Linked DNA regions of Schizosaccharomyces pombe. The protein of the gene in region 1 interacts with the protein of each later gene in a pairwise test. Each region holds a gene or a part of one and is shown on either strand. Other genes may lie near its edges.

What was found.
Region 2: the proteins of ibp1 (region 1) and mdv1 interact in a two-hybrid assay, tested with the Schizosaccharomyces pombe proteins (2 studies listed by BioGRID).
Region 3: the proteins of ibp1 (region 1) and atg11 interact in a two-hybrid assay, tested with the Schizosaccharomyces pombe proteins (2 studies listed by BioGRID).

Annotation. Positions count from the first base shown.
Region 1 is NC_003423.3:609,456-614,230, forward strand, and holds ibp1 (Cdc25 family phosphatase Ibp1 ), read left to right. Parts: upstream 1-2,963; 5' UTR 2,964-3,214; coding exon 3,215-3,631; 3' UTR 3,632-3,864; downstream 3,865-4,775. Other genes in the region: P-type calcium transport ATPase Cta3, read left to right, coding at 1-1,829; its8 (pig-N family GPI synthesis protein), read right to left, coding at 4,052-4,775. UniProt on the Schizosaccharomyces pombe protein: May play a role in DNA replication checkpoint via regulation of hsk1 or may act downstream of hsk1 in an S phase regulatory pathway.
Region 2 is NC_003424.3:1,731,896-1,738,463, forward strand, and holds mdv1 (CCR4-Not complex subunit Caf4/Mdv1), read left to right. Parts: upstream 1-2,699; 5' UTR 2,700-3,097; coding exon 3,098-5,053; 3' UTR 5,054-5,412; downstream 5,413-6,568. Other genes in the region: plasma membrane ammonium transmembrane transporter Amt2, read left to right, coding at 1-1,270; calcium/calmodulin-dependent protein kinase Cmk1, read right to left, coding at 5,937-6,303, 6,366-6,568.
Region 3 is NC_003424.3:2,629,292-2,636,123, reverse strand, and holds atg11 (autophagy associated protein kinase regulator Atg11), read left to right. Parts: upstream 1-2,572; 5' UTR 2,573-2,754; coding exon 2,755-5,535; 3' UTR 5,536-5,676; downstream 5,677-6,832. Other genes in the region: protein ahk1, read right to left, coding at 1-1,913; SPOM_SPAC7D4.05 (hydrolase), read left to right, coding at 5,941-6,103, 6,139-6,215, 6,305-6,751. UniProt on the Schizosaccharomyces pombe protein: Involved in cytoplasm to vacuole transport (Cvt), pexophagy, mitophagy and nucleophagy. Recruits mitochondria for their selective degradation via autophagy (mitophagy) during starvation.

The DNA.
Region 1 (4,775 bases):
CTTCAAACCAGCCTTCTGACCAGTTCATCCCATTACTAAAAACTTGCGCGTTGTGCAACCTTAGTACAGTGAACCAAACTGAGACAGGTGAGTGGGTTGTAAAAGGCGAGCCAACAGAAATTGCTTTACATGTATTTTCGAAAAGATTCAATTATGGTAAGGAAGATTTGCTAAAGACGAATACTTTCGTTCGTGAATATCCATTTGACTCGGAAATTAAGCGTATGGCTGTTATATATGAAGACCAACAGGGTCAGTACACCGTGTACGCCAAAGGTGCTGTTGAAAGGATTTTGGAAAGATGTTCTACTTCAAACGGATCTACGCTGGAAGAACCCGATCGTGAATTAATAATAGCACAAATGGAAACACTTGCAGCAGAAGGTTTGCGCGTCTTAGCTCTAGCAACGAAGGTTATAGACAAGGCAGACAATTGGGAAACATTGCCGAGAGATGTAGCCGAGTCTTCTCTAGAGTTTGTATCTCTTGTAGGTATTTACGATCCCCCAAGAACTGAATCGAAAGGTGCAGTGGAACTTTGCCATCGCGCAGGTATTCGAGTCCACATGCTTACTGGAGATCATCCGGAAACCGCAAAAGCTATTGCAAGAGAAGTTGGAATTATACCTCCATTTATCTCTGATCGAGATCCTAATATGTCATGGATGGTGATGACCGGTTCACAGTTTGATGCTCTTAGTGATGAAGAAGTTGATTCATTGAAAGCTCTTTGTCTAGTTATTGCTCGCTGTGCTCCTCAGACAAAGGTGAAAATGATTGAAGCCTTGCATAGAAGAAAGGCGTTTGTAGCGATGACAGGTGATGGCGTTAACGATTCTCCATCTTTGAAGCAAGCTAACGTAGGAATCGCAATGGGTCAAAACGGAAGTGATGTAGCCAAAGATGCTAGTGATATTGTTTTAACGGACGACAATTTCTCGTCCATTGTCAATGCCATTGAAGAAGGACGCCGTATGTTTGATAACATCATGAGGTTTGTTCTGCACTTGCTTGTTTCAAACGTGGGCGAAGTAATACTCTTGGTGGTCGGCTTGGCCTTTAGAGACGAGGTTCATCTTTCCGTGTTCCCAATGTCTCCCGTAGAAATTCTTTGGTGTAATATGATTACCTCCTCTTTTCCTTCGATGGGACTGGGAATGGAGCTAGCTCAACCTGATGTAATGGAGCGTCTCCCTCACGACAACAAAGTTGGTATTTTCCAAAAGAGTCTAATTGTTGACATGATGGTGTATGGATTTTTCCTTGGAGTCGTTAGTCTTATGACTTGGGTTGTCATAATGTATGGATTCGGTACAGGCAATTTATCATATGATTGCAATGCCCACTATCATGCTGGATGCAACGATGTTTTCAAAGCACGGTCTGCTGTTTTTGCAGTTGTGACCTTTTGCATCCTTATTATGGCAGTCGAGGTGAAAAACTTTGACAACTCCCTATTCAACCTTCATGGGATTCCTTGGGGTGAATGGAACTTCCGTTATTTTCTCCATACGTTGGTTGAAAACAAATTCCTCGCTTGGGCCATTGCCCTTGCAGCTGTTTCGGTGTTTCCTACCATCTACATTCCTGTTATTAATAGAGACGTTTTCAAGCATACGTATATTGGATGGGAATGGGGAGTTGTTGCCGTTGCAGTGATGTTTTACTTTTTTTATGTCGAAATTTGGAAAAGCATTCGAAGAAGCTTGACCAATCCACAGAAAAAAGGAAAGTTTAGAAGAACGCTCAGTAATACGATTACCACTGAATCCAAATTGTCCGAAAAGGATTTAGAGCATCGTTTGTTTTTGCAGTCTCGAAGAGCCTAATGTTTTCTTGCCATGAATATGTATATGAATATGCGTGAGTGTATCGTTTTCACAGAACCGACAAATCGTAAAGGATTTATAATTTTTTTTTGATGATCGTGATTATACCGATCAATGACTTTAATTGGGAATTTGGGAAAATGTTGGTTGATTATAGTGTTTATTGTTTGTTTATGAAAAAGGCATATTAAAAAATAGTTTCACGAAAGGCAAAATCAAATGATCATATTGTTTACAATTATTGCATGCTCATATAAATCCTTTTTTTTCTTCTTCTTCTTCTTTTTTAATCGTTTAAAGACGTTTACTAATGAAAGACTTCTTTGCTGTGAATGGTAAATGGCAAGATCCTCTTTCATCTTCTGCTCTACTAATTAATTTTCTTCTCATTTTTATAATTACTTCCTTTTTATTTTGAGGAAAAGTTCCTTTAATCGCTTTTCTTGTTGATTTCCTTGTTTCATACTTTCTTTCATTTTTTCTATAATTTCTAGTCCGTTTTTTGTTAAGCTTCTTAAAGCAATAAAAAGACCAAAAAGAATAAATACAAGTCACTTTAGACTAATATCTTTAAATAATGTTGGCCGATCATTTCACGTCGCAACTAGCTATATATTTATTCACTTTAATCAATATGGCTTAACATAGCAAATTTAGAAGTAAAAAAATATCCCTTTTAATTTTTTTATTCTACAGGTAGTATATACAAATAATTAATGAGTTAGCTGTAAACACATTTCCTCGTTATCGCGATATAAAAATTTTCGATTAATCGGTTTAATTCATTAAGTCAATAGAGAATCTGTTGAAGAGAAAAGCGGATTCTACAAATGCCTCTTTATTCCAGCATTTTAAGAAAATAAAGAAGAAGATCTTGGTCGCAACGATGCCCATAAATTTGCGACATTCCTACTAGCCTTTTTTATTTACATTAACAAAACTGAACACAACCCCAAATGACAAACTCGGCCCTGAAATGCAAAGAAATAATTAAAAAAATAAAAAAAGAATAAAAGGAAACGACACCGATTATCTCATACATGTTCTCATGTTTGTGATTCCAAAATCTCAAAATCCAGTACTGGATGTAACGTACCACGCTACAGACTTCGTTCTGAGACATTGGCATCCTTGTTTTCTACCACTAATATATTTCAGTAGACGAGAAATACATACCTTGTAAACGGATACTATTAATAATACCAGACTATTTGATTTCCCTCTTTTAATCTTTACTTAAGCGAGTTTGTAGCTACTACTATTGTGTTTGGTGTTCTCTACTTTTCTAACTGAATTTTTTTTTCTACATAGCCGTTTGCTTCAATTCAGCTACTTGATAGTTGTTCATTTTGCTTTTAATTCACTTTTATAGCCTTTCGTAAACGATGTCTACTTTGTCTTATGTATCGCCTGATGCTTTAAAAGGCTGGTTAATGGAATCGCCTAACGAGATTAGCATAATCGATGTTCGTGACTACGATTACGAAGGAGAACGTATTCCTGGCAGTGTGCGTATTCCTTCCGACACTTTTCTCGCTAGTGTTGATCAGCATGTTGACGATCTCATGAAGAAGAGATCACTCATCGTCCATTGCACTTATTCTCAAGTTCGCGGTCCTAAAGCTGCCAGAGTACTTTCAGAAATTTTGAGAAACCGTATAACAGAAAGTAAGGAAAAGCTCTCTTTAAGCCAAAAAGAAAAGCTCTTTCAAAACCTTCCTACTGTTTACATCCTTCATGGTGGGTTTTCCGCATGGAAACGGCGGTATGGTGGTCAACAAGGTCTTATCGAGTATGATTAATTGATTGTGCTTGAAAAGTCCTTTGACTTCTTCCTTGTCACTCATATAAATCCTGCTTTAAACTTTTTTATTTGGTACGTTTTATCCCACTCCGGGTTCATACTTTGTGTTTTCGCAACACCATTCGTTTGATATAATCCTTACAATCTGTATGGATATAAACTACATCTCATAATCTCCAAGAACCTTAGTAGTAGTTTGCATGCCTACAATTATACAAACACATTTTCTTTAAAATAATCCTTCGTTTATCAGTGTTTTATACTTTTAATATTTACCTACTTCGTTAATAAGGTCATGTATAGACATTCTCATAATCGGTTTACCAATATATATTTATAAAGAATAAGTAAGGGAAGAAAAAAAGAGAGAACGATGCGATACTTCATCGAGTATCAGCTATCTTAATATTATCTAAATTTAATTAACTTTCTCATGAATAGTGTAGGTAATATTTTTGCAAAGAATCGCGCTTGCATGTTCCAGAGCAGTAATAAAAAGTATCAAAAAGTTGCTGATGCAAAAATGACTAATACTCACACCAATGTCCTTCCACGAGCCTTCGTCCTTTACTAAATAAAAAAAGTTAATTGTAACTATATCAGCCATTCCAACTGCCAAAAAGAAAGTAACTTGCTGAATCCCTCCCAGTCGTTTGTTCATTATTCCAAAAGCTGCCGAAAGTGCGATAAATGGAACCAGAATAGTGTACATTAAGAGTGCACCTTGTGTTACCGGATTGAATACAGGAATAAAACGTTTCACCGAATCCAAAGCGAATGTGGAAAGTGAAGCCACGTTTCCTGTACCAAAAAATGCGACGTTAATAAATATGTAGAAGAAAAGGGAAATGCGAATATGAGAAAGAGATAAATGGAATTTTGCATCTTTCTTTCTGCTATATTCGGGATGTAGTTGTTCCGTATATTTTTGAAGTTCTGTTTCTAGTTCCATCCATAATCCTAATGTTATAAATAAAACAACATAGAAGAGTGCTTCAAAAGAAATAGATAACATGCACATTGTAGGCGAAAATGTGAGAAACAAAATAGCCAGACGGTCAAGAAAATAGTGTTTACAAGACCGAATATGATGACTTGGAATGATGTACGACGTTATGAAAAGTCCAAATGCAACTAAACGT
Region 2 (6,568 bases), on another chromosome or scaffold:
TAGTTTTTTCCAATGGTATTTCTGGGGTTATTCTCTTGCTTTTTCTCAAACTGGAACCTCTGGTTATATTGGCAATCTTCGTCATTTTGCCTTTATTCGCACACTTGCCGATTACTCTCCTGGTAGCAATAATATTCCCGAGCTTGTATTTGCAAATTTTCAAGGAATGTTCGCCGCAATTACTGTAGCCCTCTTCACTGGTGCCGCCGCTGAAAGAGGTCGTATTGGTCCAATGCTCATCATCACATTTGTGTGGCTCACTGTCGTTTATTGTCCCATAGCGTGTTGGATTTGGAATCCAAATGGTTGGGCTTTTAAATTTGGTGTATACGATTTCGCTGGCGGAGGACCTGTAGAAGTTGGATCAGGATTTGCAGCTTTGGCGTATACGGTTTGTTTAGGACGTCGATCCAAATTTGTTGAGGAACAATTTCGCCCTCATTCTGTGCTCAATGTTGTATTGGGAACATCTCTGCTATGGTTTGGTTGGCTTGGTTTCAACGGTGGTAGTGCTTACGGCTCCAATCTGCGAGCCGCTATGGCAATCACCAACACAAACTTAGCAGGTGCTGTAGCTGGTTTAGTATGGGTTATTTACGACTACATTTTTCGCACTAGGAAATGGTCAACCATAGGTTTTTGTTCCGGGGTTGTTGCCGGTTTGGTGGCTGCAACGCCTTGTGCTGGTTTTGTGAGTCCTCATGCCTCTTTGGCAATTGGTGCTATTACTGGCTTATGTTGCAATTGGGCCATTAAGTTAAAGTCACATATGCGCATTGATGATGCGATGGATATTTTCGCTATCCACGGTGTTGCGGGTTTTGTGGGTACCTTTTTGAATGGTTTGTTTGCCGTTGATTATATCGCAGCAATGGATGGTATTTATGTTGGTGAAAACAAAATCAGAGGTGGTTGGTTTGATCACCATTGGCGCCAACTAGGCTTGCAAATGGCCTATATTTGTGCTGTTGGTGCATACGACTTTGTTGTCACGTTTATCATTTTATTCATTACGGACAAAATTCCCTACCTTCAACTTCGAGTGAGCCCTGATGCTGAAGAAATTGGTGTGGATGCTGATCAAATAGGTGAATACGCGTTTGATTATATTGAAGAACGTCGTGAATATAAGCATTGGAAGATTTCCCCTGCCGGTGTACCTGAAGAAATCATTATTTCCAATGGCGTTGCTCAACCTACTGGAAATGTGGCTGCTCCCGGCAAGATTCTAGAATCAACAAACCCATTGGAGCTTGGACTTACGATCTAAATCTTTTTGCATCGTACAAAGTTATTTGGGTTTAAAAAAAAAAAGTAAAAGGTTGAATTGGAGAAAAGATTTTAAGTTAATAAAAGAAATGAAAATTTTGGTAGATTGGTTTATGATTGTTTAAAGAAAAAAAGAAAATAGCACAACTACAAGGTCGCTGTTTGGGAAGTTTTGAACAAAATTACAAAGACTAGAAATTTCTTGAAAGATTTGCTTGTTTTTACTTCTAAAGAGGTCAGAATCTTAAATTATAATTTTAAGGTTTTTTTTTTGTTAACAGCATTTAAAATGAATTCGGTTTAAAGGCAAGACTAATAATTGTAATGAAAATATTTTTATGCGAATTTGGTTTGTAATTTGTGTATCCAAATATGAAGAGAATTAATTATCTTATAAGCCAAAAGATTTAAAATGAGCAAGTCAATCTTTGTTTCCAGTCATAATAAGTTTGTATTTTGTATAATCATCATTCACCATGAAACCAATGAATAGGTACAAAAAAGTACGTCGAATTAGGCTTTAATAACTATTTACTGTTTACGAATTTACCGGAAGTGAAAACCTCACTACTGCATCGAAACAAAAAATAAAAAGTAAACTCCCACTGCGAGACTCGAACTCGCAACCTTCCGGTTAAAAGCCGGACGCTCTAAGCCGATTGAGCTAAACGGGACTTGGTTGAATGGGGTTAAACTTAGTAGTTTATATCTAATTACTTTTAGAACGTATTTTTAATGAGAATATTGAATATGAAATTTCTATATAAACTTGGCGATTGAAATTGATAATTAGCGAATCTCTTGTATCCATATATGTATATTTTATATGTATTTAAATAATATTCAGTTTTGAATAAAGAAGAGTCTTTGAGTCTTAAATTAGGCAATAGATGATGAGTTCCTATGAATTTTTTTAATTTTTTAATAAAAATAACAAATCAAATTAAAGTAAAGGTTAAAAAAATATAAAATTCAAGAAAGAAACATGTTGAGTTATTCTACTCATTATTACAAAAATAATATGTAATGTCTGAACCATCATTCCGCTTTACTAAATGTTTTATTTATTTTATTGCATTACTGTTAAGATGTCAATTTATATATATATTCAATAAAACTGTAAGAGGGTTTGAAGGGCCAGTAAAATTAGCAGTCTATAGTAAGATATATAATTTATAATTTTTATGAACTTTGGTACTCTTGTTTCAGTAAATTGTGTGAATTTATTTATAGTGCTAATAAGATAAATTCGATGAGGATAATTTCTTACAAGTGCCAAACAGTTGAAGTAATAACTTTATTCATAGTATGGATTTTTTTTTTCTACTTCTCTTTCATTTTTGACCTACATATTCCATTTCTACTTTCTCTACCGCCATTGGATTCGCTCATCCCTCTAGTACTTACGTTGCTTTTTCCTTCCTTCTTCCACACACCAGTGACAAAAAAGCTTGTATATTCAATTGTCTCTTGATTTTTATCAAATACAAGCTGAGATTAAAAGAGCTGGACATTTACTACAAATTTTAGTTGTTTGCTTAATTCCCATTGGTTTTTGTTTTGTAAAAGTACGTGCGGGAATCATACTCTTATTGAACTTCTTATACCTTACACGTAGCGTCGATTGAAAAGATTTTATTTCTCAACTCATCTAAAAATTGCTTTCTTTTTTAAGGCCTTCATCTGGATATATCATTTATCTCCGTAAAGCCACCTTTTTTAACCGCTTTTACGTTTGGGAGATCTGAACCCTTTACCTCATTATTTTAATTCCTTAAAGTATTAAAGTTCACTAGCTTTTCTTCTAATTGTTGGCTTTTTTCGTTTTATGACTGATAATAATTCAAAGAGCAAAGATTCTTCACAAAAAATTCCAAATGATTCGTTAACTCCCACTATTTCGAAAGGTTTAAGAAAAGATGTTTTTTATTGGACTAAAGCCATAGCTTATACAACGTGGAATTTCTTCGATTCTAGTCCAGTTACACCTCAAAGAAATCCCATATCTCTGTTCGTGCGTGGCCTTTCTCATCCTTTTTTACGCCATCGTTTATCCAAATCCCAATTTAATGAATGGTTTTTATCACATAACGGTGTTGATCCAGTTCAAGCTCAAACATTGCCCGATCCTCTTTTGTTTGATATTCCGGACCATCAAGAAACGTCTTATAGTTTGCTTGAAGGTTACTCAGTCACTGCTCACGATCATTCCGACACTTCACCTTTGCCGATAACAAGCTCCAACCAAAAGGAAGGCAAAAAAAATGTATCATCGATTGATGTGTCAATGGTTTCCGACTCTTCTGAATTTAAGCCCGATAGCTTACAACACGAAAAATTGGTGAAGAAATGCAATCAACTTCGTCTTCAAAAGCTCATTAATTCTAGCGAACTTGCACAGATTGATTTGGAGTTGTCCAAACTCTATTCTCGAAGAAGGCAAGTTCTTGAACGCCTTAGCAAGATCGAGGAACAGAATTTAAAGTATACTTCCAAGCTGGCTTCTGTTGAGAAACTGATGTTAGATTCGGATGCTCAAGATTTGTATAGCTCATATTCTCATGATTTAATTCCTTCACAAATTGAAGCGGGTAAAAATGGAGCTAACCCCGATGTTTTTGATGATACACACGACAAGTATACAGATAATTTATCTGCTAGGGCTATCTCTCCAAGAGCTCCAAGGCCATCTACGGCTAGTGAAGTGGTATCAGATTACTTTGAACAGAATTCCGCTTTTTCTAAAGCACCAGAGAATACTGAATCATCTGTGAATCAAAATTATATAGTTGGAAATCTCGTAAAGCAGTTTCAAGCTCATTCTGAATATATTACGAGTCTTGATTTTTCCCATCCTTTTGGAACTTTAGCTACGGCCTCGACTGACAAAACTGTGAAAGTTTGGGATATGGCGGGTGTTGTATACCTGGGTTCATTGAAAGGTCATTCTGATTATGTTTCTTGTCTGGCGATTCAAGACTCCTTTATTGCTACTGGCTCTATGGATACAACCGTGCGGTTATGGAATTTAGATAATGATGTACTTCATAAGGATAATCCTGTTGAAGAGAGCCTTAATTCTCCTCCCGATCAACCTGTTGACAATGCCACAAATGTTTTAACATCTCACACTGCCCCTGTCACTGCATTAGCATTATCTAGTGATGATGTGCTTATAACCGGTGCCGATGATAAAACTGTTCGACAGTGGGATATCGTTACGGGGCGTTGTATTCAAACTTTGGACTTTGTGTGGGCGGAAACTCATGATACATCTACTAGTCAAATTTTGGTCAGTGACACTTACAAACAAGAACCTTTCATCAGAGCTTTAGACTGCTTAGATGCTGCTGTGGCTAGTGGGACTGTCGATGGACTTATTCGCATCTGGGATTTGCGAATCGGTCTTCCTGTGAGAAGTTTCATTGGGCACACAGCTCCTATTTCTTCTTTGCAATTCGATTCCAACCATTTGTATTCCGGAAGCTATGACAATTCTGTTAGAATATGGGATTTACGAAGTGGCTCGCCAATTAATATTATACCTATGGAGAAAAAAGTGAATTCCTTAAGACTGTATCAAGGTCGTCTTGCTGTAGCATCTGATGAACCAAATGTTAGGATATTTGATACTGTATCTAATCGGAACTGGATTTGTTCAATTCCTTCTCACTCTGATTCCATAGCAGCCGAACCTAACTCAGTACCTACTTCTGTTCAATATAAAGATCGCTTTTTGGTGGATGGAAAGTCTGATGGATCTGTTAGCGTTTTTTCTGCTTAATTTGTATTTTTTATCCACACCTTTATTTATTATACTCTCGTTATTGTGTTGAATCTGGATAACGTTAATTTTAAAATTTTATGTCTTTATGCTTTGGTTAATGGGTATTAACTTCTGTTTGGTTTTTTTATTTATTTATGGACAAATAAAAAGGAACGAGACATTGCGAATAAAAAACTGTGATGTTAATTTTGTTCAAAATATTTAAAAAAATTCTCAAAGCAAATTGTTTGATCACCACCTCCCTTCTGCTTCTTATACTGTAGGTTTAAAATTTAGTAAATAAAAATCTTTTCTAGTTTACATTTTTTTGGTTTTACTAGTATGAAGTACGCAACCTCATTCTGATCTGAGATGTTGTATTTCATTTTGTTGATCCAGTTTACAAAACACGCTCAGCGTGTTTAATGTCAACTACACATAATAAGTATTGAAGAATCTTTTTGAAATTAGCAATTTGAACTCACACAGTGAGTAAAATATGGAAATAACCAAGCTCTTTTTATATTTCAGATTAACTGAATGGTCATTTTATTTTTGAAGCATAAATAGTCATAAATGCTAAAATTTCAAAATTTTACATCTGCAATATATATAGAGAATTAAACAACTGCGTTCATCTGTCGTCAACAGTCTAACAATGTCAGAAAACTGGTAGCGTTACTTTTTAAAACATCGACATAACTTTTAGCATTTTGTATGAGGCTATTTTAAAAACTAAGTAGAGAACATGATAGGTCCAAGCATTCCAAATCACAAAGAATATATTTAACATGTAAGAGTGTTAATACCAAAAAAGTATGTACTGAGGGCAAAAGATAATAAAGAAGTCATAAGTCATAACAAGATAAAATAAGAAAGTTATAAGAAAAGATGTGTATAATTAATGCTTATTCTCAAGCTTTTTCCAAGTGTTGAAAGCACGTACAGCGTTATAGGCAGTACGGAACGTTTTTCTTGCATTGAAATTTTCCCGGACGTTTGGAAGCAAATTGGAGGTTGCGGGACGCTTTTCAGACAGGAAGGGGTGCTTCAACGCATCAGCAGCAGTTAAACGTTTCGAAGGGTCGTTTTCCAAACATTTTTTAATAAAGTCCTTGGCCGTTTCTGAAATGCCAGACCAGCAAGGATCGTTAAAAGTGTACTCGTTAGCTAAAATTGCTTCTATAACTTCAACCTGAGAAGGTCGAGCAAATGGAGTATAACCACTGAGTAAAAAATAAGTTATAACGCCAATAGCCCACATATCTCTATAAACAGTATTAGTCAAGATACATAACTTCTGAATTAAAATGGTAGTTGATCAACTTACACAGGTTTTCCATATCCGGTTCGACGAAAGACTTCGGGTGCCATGTACTCTGGTGTCCCACATGCCGTCATGAGCATATAGTATTGAGAATCCTCATAAAAGTGGGACAATCCAAAATCGGCAATTAACAAATCTGAATTCGGATCTTTAGAGCGATAAAGTAAATTTTCTGGCTTCAAATCTCGATGTACAATTCCATTGTC
Region 3 (6,832 bases), on another chromosome or scaffold:
TGCTTTAAAAGGTTTTTTACACGTAAAGTAACTGTACCTTTAAATTGGAATTCTTCCATATCATCAAGCTTTAAGAATCTCCAACATACAAGGCGCTGAAAATAAGCTCTCACAAGAGGCGACCAATGAAGAAACAATTCCTGGAAAGTATTTTCTTCTAGTAACCATTGCAACGTTACCAATTCTTTAGATTTTATATCTAAATATGGCCAGACAGCATAAATGAAAGTTATACTACGAACAATGGACATATTGTGGGAAGTTGATATTAATCTTTTGGCAACTGAAATCCAAAAAGAAAAATCAAAACGGTGTGAGAAATCGTTAAATACCCCGAAACACTGTTCAACAAGAGAACACAGCAAGAAACAAGATTGAAGATTAAAAGCAGGGGTGTTTTTGGCAACATTAATTAAAACTTGCTCTAAAACGGCTAATAAACGCATCTGCTCTTGTCTGCAATCCCCAATCTTTTTAAAAGCATCTTTAATATGTCCGACAAACTGTTGAAGAGTCGATAAAGTCGTGGCAGTTACAGGCATCTTAGGATTGTATTCTTCCATTGATGGATTTACTTCTGGTAAAGTCTTACATGGAAACTGCTCATGTCCTGTAGGTAACATTAATGGCTTTTTGTCGCTAATATGTATAACCGAAATGGTTAATTCAAGAAGATAAGCATGTAAGCATATGTAACCTGGAGCGAAATATATGACATTATCAGGTAATTCGAAAGAGAATTGCAAAGCTAAAAAAGAATGATAGCATGATAAAAACTCGAAAAAGAATCCACCTGTAGAAGACTTAAAGCGACGCATCCATGCTCGTGTGAATTCAATAGGCTGCCTATTGTAACCTATAGTAAAAGGCGTTGAAGTTCGTTTTGGGTAATACGGATGCATAGTCGAGGAAAATTGGTCAGTAAAAAATGGCGCAAGATACTTATGTGAAATAATCATTATTTTTTCGTCGAAGGATGAGCCCAAAGCATCAATGTACTTTTTCTTTACATCTAATGCGCTCAAGAAATGGTCGGCAAAAAGTGGAAGTTGAAAAAAGGAGAGAACCAAGATACTCGCACAAAATGTCGTTAATGAATACGGCAAGGACTTTTGAGAAAGCAGATGAACTACAAATGTCAATGTATCGTAAAGTATTAATTGGTGTTCCAAGTACAATAAAGCAGAGTGTTCCACTTTGTTCCAACAATGATGCTTGGCGATAGCAAGTATGGCCTTTGTATATGTGATACGTTCTGAAGTAGAAATATTAGATTGTAAACGTCGAAGAATGGATACCCACCAGTTATACAAAGAATGCCTAAGTTTATCCAATTCCGGTTCGGAAACGTTTTTAGTGGTTAAAGAAGCCAAATGTGGTAATAAAAACCCTCTTATAAGAACTACCTTATCAGAATCCTGCTGATTAATAAAATTGATGAATTGCTCGGATAAAGGACACTTTATTGGAGAAACCAGTGGCTCCGAAAGACGTAAGGTAGATTGGACGGCCTTATTTATTAAGCTAGAAGGCGCTATCTCCTCCGCATTAAGGCGTAGGCTTTGAGAAGACAACTGAGAAAAAGGAGAGGTAGAACGAGAAGAGGAATCAGAAGATGATGATGAGGGTGATTCGTTGTAAGGCTCATTTAAGATTGTTGAGGAATGGCTTACTAAAGTGTTTTCATATTTACCATAATCATCTGTAATCGAAAATGGTTCAAAGTTCGAATCAAGGTCGTCAGCTACAAGCACATTGGTTGTATCGACGGGATCATGTTCCTGAATACATTTTACCACAACAGGATAGTTTTTTGTTTGGGAACCCGAATGCTCTTCCTCTTTAAAGGAGGCTGTATTGGGAGGACCCATAATAGCGGCAAGGATCTCATATCGTGATTGAAAGTCACCCATTCAGAATTTCAGAAATGAAGCTAAATGTAAAGAAAAGAATAAGTGTGAAATGCAAATAAAAAGAATATAATTAATCCCTAGATTAAAACCAAATTAATTAACATGAGCCGTGCAATCACCACTAATAAAGAAATGAAGATTTAAAGGACAAGCTATGCAAATGCCAGAAAAAAATGTACCAAATATGCTAAAAGATGCTCAAAAGTTTTTCCTACAGTAGAGAAATTTTGACTTTTTTAATTTTTTAAAAACTTTATCGATAAAAGACAGAGAAATCGGTAACCAAAAGATTCGCGGTTAAAAAAACAAGAAAAATACTTCCGAGTTTAGAATACTTGTATTCTAAAAGAATGAAAAGTAAACAAGTAGAAGATATCTTTAAATTAAATATATGAAATCCGCAATGTAAATTAGCATCCCCAACACTTTCGTTCACACCCAGTGTAGATGCTTGGTTAAGGCTGAGTTTCCGAACCCACCAGCTTGAGGGTATACGGCTACATATGACATATATTTCAGTAGACAAACATAATAAAACCAATAATTAAAATTGTTTTTTTAAGCTAAATGAAAAGACATTTGAAATTTTAAGCTGTATTGTCTTACAGCTTCAACTCAGTGTTCATACAATGCCAATCTCCTTTTGGTAGTTAGTACCCAACAATCGCCTAAACCAAATAGAACCCGCCAACTTACCAAACAAAACGGAATATAAGGACAGAGAATAACTATATGCAACGGATTATAAATAACTGATATTGAGTTTTCTTTTAGATCAAATATTTCAAGTTTAATGTTGGGGAATCGCGAATGATAAAGTTAAGCAATACAATAGGTCAGTATGCGTTTTCGATTGAATGATTCATTCTCCGGAAAGAGTTGGACCATAGATAATGTACAATGGACTCCCCAAAATCTTGTAGCTTGGATTATGGAGCTCAATATTGGACTTAGTGATGAAGCAAAACTATTATTGCCGAACGGAATGTCTTTGAATGAAACCGTACTAAATAGTGAAAGTGATGTGGTTATTTACGTACTAGATCAAAACTTGTTGACTTTCACCTACGATGGTGATAAAATTCCTTCTATTCCTTCTCTGAAAGGACAACCAATATCTAATGTACTTACTGGGATTATAGCTGATTCTTCTTCAGATCAATGGAAAGATAAAATCAGCAAGTGTCTTTCATTATTATCTGATATTTTAGAGTCTTCTTCAAAGATTCATAATCAATTAAGCGTATGCCATGATGAGTATTCTACTAGTATTGTTTCTCCAGAAGTTGCAATGAATTATTTACAAAGAAGACAATCTGGTATGAAAGATTTACTTTTCGTTTTCTACGAAAGACTAGATCGAGTATCTGTGTCTGATTTACTTCATGATTTCCTCGCTCTACCAACTGGTTCTTTACCCATTACTCCTCTTAAAATACTTTCAACAAATTGGACTAAATTGGACTCCTGGTTAAACTCCATTTCAGCTCGTTATGCTGAAGCTCAAAAACGAGTCCAACAGTGCATTGGCGCCGCAAATAGTATTATCGTTTCCCCATTCAAGGAAGTTCCTTCAATCAAGGAAGGAGATGATGCTTATTATCATCTACGTTCCGTCGCTCAGGATGCAGCCAATATATTGCAAGAGATCCTTAAAATAGAGTCAACTTCAACTACTTCTCAAATCAAACCAAAATGTAATTACGAAACCGAAATTACTGATTGCATGGAAAAACTTCAAAGTAATCTGTCGGAATTAAAAAGTTCTAGAAAGTCATCACTAATATCTTTGAAATCTTTTTGGCTTTCCTTTTATAAGGTTTCTCTTAGATATGATGCATTGTACGAATATCTTCGACAAATAGCAGAAGAGCTTGACAGAAGCAAATTCGTTCTTTCTCAGTCTCGAAACATTTTTTCGCTATATATCGACATTTTAATGGAGGCACTGAGGAGGACTGAATGGCAGGAATCATACAATGTAAGCCATGATAGTTCTCTTCCTTTAGACCAGGAGAAGGAGCTTTCTCTTAGGAAGTCTTGGCTCAGTCATTTCTCTAATTTGCTTTTTAATCATGGCCAGCTAAAGTACTTACCAGTTTTAACTCGTGACGAAATTTCTAATTATTTACTCAATATTCAAGCACATCCGAATTACCAAACTTTTCATCAAATGCTAAGCAATCGGCTCTCAGAATATTTGGGCTTTCCTGGAAGTCCTCGAGAAGCCGTTTCCAATACGGTTCAAGCGAACAATTCATTACATGAAAAATTGGCAATGTATCAAAATCGTTGCAATAATTTAGAGGCAATGTTAAGCCATCAAAACGGCTTTAATTATAACATTAACAATGATGGTTTATCTCCAAATGCTCCACATCCACCCATCAATGAGCAGTCTAATTCTTCTCAGCCATTTTACCGTGTTTCCCCTAGTATTGTGCCTCTAAACGTAATTCGTAAATTAACTAATCGCAAAACTTCTTTTACCGACAGCCACATATTACGACTTCAAGATGAGGTTAATCAATTACGCAACGAATTAGATTTGGTAAATAAAAGAAATGAGGACTTATTAATTGAGCTTCAAGGGAAGGAAGAAAAGATCCAATACCTCGAAACTGAAAATGAGGAAGTGCTACAAAAATACGAAAATTTACAGGAGGAACTTTCATCAACACGGAAACTGCTTACGAAAAATGAAGCGGCAGTTGCAGAACAGCAATCAAACGAGGAGATGCATTCTAATGAACCGAACATATTAAACCTTTACTCCGTATTTGAGGGCAAAGTTGATAGCTTGCAAGAACTTTATAATGCTTTCAAGCTTCAACTCACGAGTTTGAAGCAAAAGGGCGAATACGCTACTCTTGCAAAAGATGCCGAAGCAGTACAACATATTATTGAAGAGAGAGATTATGCTCTTGCAGAGAAAGCTGATTTACTCAAACTTTCCGAGAATCGAAAAGAACAATGTAAGATATTAACTCAGAAACTTTATACCATTGTATTCCGGTGTAATGAGTTACAGTCTGTTCTTCGGGAATGCGTTACTCAGCCTGGATTTGATTCAGATAACGAAAGAGATGGCCATGCATCGATTCCAGATCGCCAAATTGAATTTAATTCCAAAGATTTACAGTATCTTTATTGGATGGATGGGGAGGATGCTGATAGGAATTTCCAGGAATTTTTGAACAGAATGAGTTCTTTAGATTTTGACTCTTTCCATAACTTTGTTGTCAGTGTTTTGACTCAAGCACATAATCATGAACTTCGTTGGAAACGTGAATTTCAATCTAACAGGGACAAGGCGCTGAAAGCTATTTTGGACTCTCAAAGTAAAGTCTCATTAAGGAATTTCAAACAAGGATCCTTGGTCTTGTTTTTGCCTACTCGACGTACCGCCGGTAACAAAAAGGTGTGGGCGGCTTTTAATGTTAACGCTCCTCATTATTATTTGAACACTCAACCGCATTTGAAACTTGAAAGCCGCGACTGGATGTTAGGAAGGGTAACTTCCATTGAAGATCGTACTGCTGATGATTCGACGGATAAATGGCTTCGCCTGCCTTCAGGTACAATATGGCATTTAGTGGAAGCTATCGATGAAAGATTTTAAATCATTATGTGACCTAGCTTATACCTTCACTTGCTTTTTCTTTGCTTGTATTTGTGGGACTGATTCTATATGACAGACATTTGGTATTATCATACTTCTATTTTTTCAGGTTTTGATCTGTTATGGCATTATTTACTGAAATTTGTTTTTTGGTCTCGCCTAGTAAGGTATCCGACGTAAATTAACGACTACTATTGCTGTAGCGTGTCTCTCGTCTTGTAACATGATAAATTTTTAATGAACTTTTAATCTATTCGTATATTATTTAATATGTAGAACGCAATCGCTCGCAATAAAAGTGATTTGCAAATATTATTTATCACACCGAACAACGCACTGGTGGTAAGGAGTACCTTATGTAAATTGCTTTGTGTAGTGTGTCCCATCAAAGTACAACCTGGAATTATGATTCCCTCAAAAAATATCCAAAAGATCAAGTTGGTTACGTTCGATGCTTTTGGAACAATCCTTCATTTAAGTAAACCTGTTCCAATTGTGTACAGCGAAGTCGCTCAGAAGTATGGAGTTCATGCAACTATTGATGAAATTGAACACAATAGTAATAAAGGTTAGCTTTTGGTTTCTATTTATCTAATAATTTAGCATTCAAGGATTTCAGTGAAAAGCATAAGAATCATGGAAAAAAGTCAGGATTAAATCCTCATGACTGGTGGATCAAAGTATGTGTCTGAATTTCATTGAGATTTGTGTTTTGTAAAGAATTGAATCTCTTGATTTCTAAAAAACCTTTACATGCTAACAATTTTAGGTTATCGAACATTCTTTTCCAACTCCTGTTCCTGCAGAAATGGCTGAAGAGCTATGGAGTTACTTTTCCAAAAAGACGGGTTACACGATTCATCCTCTTCTGATTGATTTCCTTAAGAGAAATAAAGAAGAGAGGAAATACATTATTGGTATTATTTCAAACACAGACGAAAGAATTCGTACAGTGCTTGAAGATTACGGCATAGATCATCTAATAGATATATATGCGTTTTCGTACGACGTTGGATTTGAAAAACCAAGCAGGGAAATATTTGATTATGCTATGGAAAAGGCTGTTAAACTTCTTGGACAGGAGATTCAACCAGAAGAATGTATGCACCTAGGGGATGATTTAATAAAAGATGTTTCAGCAGCAAGAAACATCCAATGGAATGCTGAATACTGTGACATAAAAACCAATTTCCTGAAATATTTTGAACAGAAGTAAAATAAACGCAGTCAGGTTTACCGCGTATCCAACATTCATATCTGGACCCCTTCTTCAAGGACCTAATGTGACAATAAAGGT